Linked DNA regions of Arabidopsis thaliana. Each later gene encodes a partner of the first gene's protein in a complex. Links are inferred from orthologs where the notes say so. Each region holds a gene or a part of one and is shown on either strand. Other genes may lie near its edges.

Region 1 (3,880 bases):
TTAGGCACGGTTTTGATTCATTTCATAATCGACTTGACACAAATTGCGTGGATGGTGCCGATTTTGTGACCTAAATACTAACATCAAATTTTGTGACCTAAAAGAAGTCTTATATATTTTGAAAGTTGCATTATCATCATTCCATTTCAAAGAAATAAAAAAGAAAGAAAATAAAATAATCAAACCCTTAAAAGAACTTACTCATTTCTTGCATATTACATATGAGTAGCAATTTGTATTGCCTTTCCACTAAGGATCTACCTCTTTTAGGCAACTGAAAATGTTGAATTTGATGGATCATAATCTTCATTGTACTTAGGGTGGTCAACTCATTTTAAAGTCAGTTCTGGTGTGATGTGTAATCTTTGTTTGGTTGGGCTTTTATAACTCGAGCAACGAGTTCATATTAATACGGTGCAGATTTTACATAGATTGTTACTATAACCCTAAATCCAATAAGGTGTATGACTCAACATGTTCAGCATCCTTAATGTTCTATTATTTGAAATGGTGGACGAGTATGCAATAATTGACGGAAAGAATAATGAGCTTTACTTCATGTAAGCATCAAAGATTCATAGGTCGATTTGATCCTTAAGAGATGAATAGAATGTCACTAGATTGTTGGTGATTAATAAAGATGATATTAGTTTGTACAAATCCATGAGAAACTGAGCGTACGTAATAATATGTTTGGTGATGAAAATAAAACAAAACAAATAAAACTAAGAACTTGTTTATAGCAAGAGGTTGGGAATTTTTGTGGTTTCTGTGTGATTTCGGTATGTTCTTGTAACAATAAGCATATTCCAAAATATGTATCCGGATGTAGTTGAAGATACAATAATATATAATTTTAACCAAAAAGAAAACTACAATTTTCATGATAAAATTAATATTTTATTGATTTTAATATATAAACATCTTATAATTAATTTAATGAATAAAATTTTATAAATTTTTATATCTATAATTTAGTTAATTCTTATTATATGTTTATTATTTCGTTCTAATTTCTAACCAAATATTAGTTTTTAATATTTGTTTTGATCTGTAGAATTATTTTATCGGAATTTTTGGAATAAATCGAAGCAATTAACAAATGAAACCATTGTTGTTAGTTGTTACACTATATGATTTTTTCGTTATAACCAAATATTTGTTTTTCTCTATAAAGTTTTGCTTATCAAAAAAATTTTGGAGAAAATTGAAGCAATTAACAAATTAAACCAGATTAAAAAATATATATATATACATATATATATATATCATTTTAAGTCTCTTGTAAGGTAATTTGATTGGTATATATATATACTAATGGACCAAAACCATACCAAAGAAATTAAACCAAACCTAATTACTCTAATTTCTATCCTTTGTCAGATATTTTCTCTCGTTGGGGTCAAAAACTCATAAAATAAAAAAGCAATTAACAAATCAAACCAGATTACAAATTATATATATATATATATATATATATATATATATATCATTTTAAGTCTATTGTAAGGTAATTTGATTGGTATATATATATACTAATGGACCAAAACCATACCAAAGAAATTAAACCAAACCTAATTACTCTAATTTCTATCCTTTGTCAGATATTTTCTCTCTTTGGGGTCAAAACTCATAAAATAAAAAAGCAATTATTGGTTGGCTGATAAACAATTACAAAGAAGTAAGATATATACCACACACCCCAAAAAAAAAAAACATTGAAGATATCGAACCATCCACTAATACAACGCCACGTCAACAAAAAGAGGATCCCACAATTTGCAGACTCCAAATAGCAAATGTAAAACCTTATCTCCAAACCTAATCTCATCACCTTCTCTTCCCTCCACTCAAATCTCTCCTCTCTTCTTTCTTCTTCTTCAATACAATACAATCAAAAGAACAGAGAGATAAGGTTAGAGCAAAACACTGTCTGAAACAAACAACAAAAAAATGGCTTGCTCTAATCTAACAACAATGTGGGTTTCATCAAAACCATCTCTTTCTGCTGATTCATCTTCCTTATCATTCCGATCTGTTCTCAAGTGCCCAACTAACACTTCCTCACCTCCTTCACGAGCTTCCTCTGTTTCACCACTCCAAGCGTCTCTTCGTGAGCTCAGAGACCGTATCGATTCAGTCAAAAACACTCAAAAGATCACCGAAGCTATGAAGCTTGTCGCTGCAGCTAAAGTCAGGAGAGCTCAAGAAGCTGTTGTCAATGGACGACCATTCTCAGAAACCCTAGTTGAAGTTCTTTACAACATCAACGAACAGCTTCAAACCGATGATGTCGATGTTCCCTTAACCAAAGTCAGACCGGTTAAGAAAGTAGCTCTCGTTGTCGTCACCGGTGATCGTGGATTATGTGGTGGATTCAACAATTTCATCATTAAGAAAGCAGAGGCAAGAATCAAAGAGCTTAAAGGTCTAGGTCTTGAATACACAGTCATTAGCGTGGGCAAGAAGGGAAATTCTTATTTCCTCCGTCGCCCGTACATCCCCGTCGACAAATACCTAGAAGCCGGAACTTTACCTACGGCTAAAGAAGCTCAAGCTGTGGCTGATGATGTCTTCTCTCTGTTTATAAGTGAAGAAGTCGACAAAGTCGAGCTCTTGTACACAAAGTTTGTCTCTTTGGTCAAATCAGAACCCGTGATCCACACGCTACTGCCTTTATCACCTAAAGGAGAGATCTGTGACATTAATGGAACCTGTGTGGATGCTGCGGAAGATGAGTTTTTCAGGTTAACGACAAAAGAAGGGAAATTGACAGTTGAAAGAGAGACTTTTAGGACACCAACAGCTGATTTCTCGCCGATCTTGCAATTCGAGCAAGACCCTGTTCAGATTCTTGATGCTTTGTTGCCTCTGTATCTTAACAGTCAGATTCTTAGGGCATTACAGGAGTCATTGGCTAGTGAGCTTGCAGCTAGAATGAGTGCAATGAGTAGTGCTTCGGATAATGCATCGGATCTCAAGAAATCGCTTTCGATGGTGTATAATAGAAAGCGTCAAGCTAAGATTACTGGAGAGATTCTTGAGATTGTTGCTGGAGCTAATGCACAGGTTTGATTTGTTTTGAACCCTCTTTGAATCTTCTATATGAGTCCAAAACTCTCTTCTTCTTCTTTTTTTTTCGTTATCGTTTGTATAATGTATAATTGATAATCTCTAGAACTCTTTATAATCATGCAATTACAAACAAAAACGCGGTTGTATCTATTTTGGCTTTTCATTGGATAAAATGATGGAGATCTTCGTTGAATATTTGTGGATGATGAAGAGTTTTTGTAGGATCCTTTGGAGGAATAAGATTTTGGTTTCTTTGGTTGTTAGTTGTGAATCCTTTTCCATTGTTGTTATGACTAAGGATCTTAGTTAGGGACAACATTGAATCCTTTTGTTCACCCCATCTTTCAAGATTTCATAAGACTTTTTTGAATACCTCTGACTGGATTTGGTAGTCTTTAAATGTACATCGGAAGATACAAGTCTCGAGTCGTGACTAACCAACACAGCTGCTCCTTTGAACCAACTTAGTGAATTCCCCAAGGCAGTTATAGTTGGCTTGTCCAAGTGATTAGTTGGCTCGTCAACAAAGCAAAATGTGTGGGTTGGACATTGAGATGGAGGCTAACACAACCTTAGCCTTTTGTCCTTCAAACAATCGTGAAAATGAAGTGTAATGGTGTTGACTTGGGAGACCAAACCTGATCAGTTTCAAACGCACCGCATCAAGTTTAATATATTTCCTTTGGTCTTGGGTGAGGAGGATAAAGATCTAGGAAGAATATATCCAAGTGGGCTTCTCCACAAAAGAGTACCTTCCGATCCTCAGGTTCTGGCTTATTCTCACTTCACCCACAGTAACTAAATC
Region 2 (2,885 bases), on another chromosome or scaffold:
ATATCTGTTGTATATGTAAATCCTAGATATGACAATATGCGGAATTCATCCATGAAAATGAAAAACAAGGGGGGGTTGCTAAAGGGATGAATAAATGGGACGCATAACCGGATATGCTAAAATGAAAATACGAAAAAAAAGGCTAATGAGATCGAAATAATGAATCATAACTAAAGTTCCGTTTCGAATTCGCTAGATAAAACAAAGGCTTGCCTATTCCTATTATGATAAAAAAATAAAAGACTTTCCGCAAAAAATTTTTTTATTCATATATTTTTTATTTTAAAACTAGGTTTCAGTTAGTTGAGCTTGAAAATGACTATTCCTTCATTGAATGAATAAAAAATTGAATTCCACATCCGCTTGGGTGGGACCAACGAAATCGAGTGCTTACTCCCACTTTTTATTGAATTAACCGATTAATTTGCTATCGAAGATTTTTTCTGTATTCGAAAAAATTCGTAACAAAATTTAACATATTTTTTTTATTATGAGAACAAATCCTACTACTTCAAATCCAGAGGTTTCGATACGTGAAAAAAAAAACCTGGGACGTATCGCCCAAATCATTGGTCCGGTACTGGATGTAGCCTTCCCCCCGGGCAAAATGCCTAATATTTACAATGCTCTGGTGGTTAAGGGTCGAGATACTCTTGGTCAAGAAATTAATGTGACTTGTGAAGTACAGCAATTATTAGGAAATAATCGAGTTAGAGCTGTAGCTATGAGTGCGACAGAGGGTTTAAAGAGAGGAATGGACGTGGTTGATATGGGAAATCCTCTAAGTGTTCCAGTCGGCGGAGCGACTCTAGGACGAATTTTCAACGTGCTTGGGGAACCCGTTGATAATTTAGGTCCTGTCGATACTCGCACAACATCTCCTATCCATAAATCCGCGCCTGCTTTTATAGAATTAGATACAAAATTATCGATTTTTGAAACAGGAATTAAAGTAGTAGATCTTTTGGCCCCTTATCGTCGTGGGGGAAAAATTGGACTATTCGGTGGGGCTGGCGTGGGTAAAACAGTACTAATTATGGAATTGATCAACAACATTGCTAAAGCTCATGGTGGTGTATCCGTATTTGGTGGAGTAGGCGAACGGACTCGTGAAGGAAATGATCTTTACATGGAAATGAAAGAATCTGGAGTCATTAATGAACAAAATCTTGCGGAATCCAAAGTGGCCCTAGTTTATGGTCAGATGAATGAACCGCCAGGAGCTCGTATGAGAGTTGGTCTGACTGCCTTAACTATGGCAGAATATTTCCGAGATGTTAATGAGCAAGACGTACTTCTATTTATCGACAATATCTTCCGTTTCGTACAAGCAGGATCCGAGGTATCCGCCTTATTGGGTAGAATGCCTTCTGCTGTGGGTTATCAACCCACCCTTAGTACCGAAATGGGTACTTTACAAGAAAGAATTACTTCTACGAAAAAGGGGTCCATAACCTCTATTCAAGCAGTTTATGTACCTGCAGATGATTTGACTGACCCCGCACCTGCCACCACATTTGCACATTTAGATGCGACTACCGTACTATCAAGAGGATTAGCTGCCAAAGGTATCTATCCAGCGGTAGATCCTTTAGATTCAACGTCAACTATGCTACAACCTCGAATCGTTGGCGAGGAACATTATGAAACTGCGCAACAAGTAAAACAAACTTTACAACGTTACAAGGAGCTTCAGGACATTATAGCTATCCTGGGGTTGGATGAATTATCCGAAGAGGATCGCTTAACCGTAGCAAGAGCACGAAAAATTGAGCGTTTCTTATCACAACCCTTTTTCGTAGCAGAAGTATTTACAGGTTCTCCGGGAAAATATGTTGGTCTAGCGGAAACAATTAGAGGGTTTAATTTGATCCTTTCCGGAGAATTTGATTCTCTTCCCGAACAGGCCTTTTACTTAGTGGGTAACATCGATGAAGCTACTGCGAAGGCTACGAACTTAGAAATGGAGAGTAAATTGAAGAAATGACCTTAAATCTTTGTGTACTGACTCCGAATCGAATTGTTTGGGATTCAGAAGTAAAAGAAATCATTTTATCTACTAATAGTGGACAAATTGGTGTATTAGCAAACCACGCGCCGATTGCCACAGCTGTTGATATAGGTATTTTGAAAATACGCCTTGCTAACCAATGGTTAACGATGGCTCTGATGGGCGGTTTTGCTAGAATAGGCAATAATGAAATCACTATTTTAGTAAATGATGCAGAGAAGAATAGTGACATTGATCCACAAGAAGCTCAGCAAACTCTTGAAATAGCAGAAGCTAACTTGAGAAAAGCTGAAGGTAAGAGACAGACAATTGAGGCTAATCTAGCTCTCAGACGAGCTCGGACACGAGTCGAGGCTCTCAATACGATTTGATTTTGTAACTAGCTGACGTGTAAAAAAAAAGAATGTATAAAAAAAATAGGATCGAAAGACGATAAAAACAATAAAATAAAAAAAGCTGGTTACAAAAACTTATTAGACACCATTGATCATGGTGTCTAATAAGTTATACCTACTATTGGATTTGAACCAATGACTCCTGCCGTATGAAAGCAATACTCTAACCACTGAGTTAAGTAGGTTATTTATCATTGTAAAGAGAAGGAAAGGGGATACCTATCACATCGATAGGATTATAAATCCAATATTATTTCTAAGCAATACCAATAAACAATGAGATCAAAGAGATATAATGTTCGATCATGTAATATTAATCTTGACAAGAAATTATCTACATGATAAGATAAAATGTGTATCACAAACACAAGGGCTATAGCTCAGTTAGGTAGAGCACCTCGTTTACACGTGCGCCAAAGTTTTTCAGAGGAGTCCATCACGCAATCAAACTAATTGATTGATCTTATTAAGAAATCGAT

What was found. Proteins that work in one complex are often made in the same cells at the same time.
Region 2: the proteins of ATPC1 (region 1) and atpE are in contact, whole or in part, in a cryo-EM structure (PDB 6FKF), measured with the Spinacia oleracea proteins. The link is inferred for Arabidopsis thaliana from one-to-one orthologs. Residues at the interface, in NP_001413255.1 of Spinacia oleracea: Asn81, Gly82, Pro84, Phe85, Thr88, Leu89, Glu91, Val92, Arg178, Pro186, Thr187, Ala188, Lys189, Gln192, Asp196, Asp197, Phe199, Ser200, Leu201, Val203, Ser204, Glu205, Glu206, Ser279, Ile281, Leu282, Glu283, Phe284, Glu285, Gln286; in NP_054942.1 of Spinacia oleracea: Leu8, Thr9, Pro10, Asn11, Thr26, Asn27, Ser28, Ile31, Pro39, Thr40, Ala41, Thr42, Ala43, Gly64, Gly65, Phe66, Arg68, Ile69, Thr75, Leu77, Val78, Asn79, Asp80, Glu82, Lys109, Arg110, Ile113, Glu114, Leu117, Arg121.

What each region holds. Positions count from the first base shown.
Region 1 is NC_003075.7:2,349,956-2,353,835, reverse strand, and holds ATPC1 (ATPase, F1 complex, gamma subunit protein), read left to right. Parts: upstream 1-1,817; 5' UTR 1,818-1,953; coding exon 1,954-3,075; 3' UTR 3,076-3,338; downstream 3,339-3,880. UniProt on the Arabidopsis thaliana protein: Produces ATP from ADP in the presence of a proton gradient across the membrane. The gamma chain is believed to be important in regulating ATPase activity and the flow of protons through the CF(0) complex.
Region 2 is NC_000932.1:51,762-54,646, reverse strand, and holds atpE (ATP synthase CF1 epsilon subunit), read left to right. Parts: upstream 1-1,983; coding exon 1,984-2,382; downstream 2,383-2,885. Other genes in the region: atpB (ATP synthase CF1 beta subunit), read left to right, coding at 491-1,987. UniProt on the Arabidopsis thaliana protein: Produces ATP from ADP in the presence of a proton gradient across the membrane.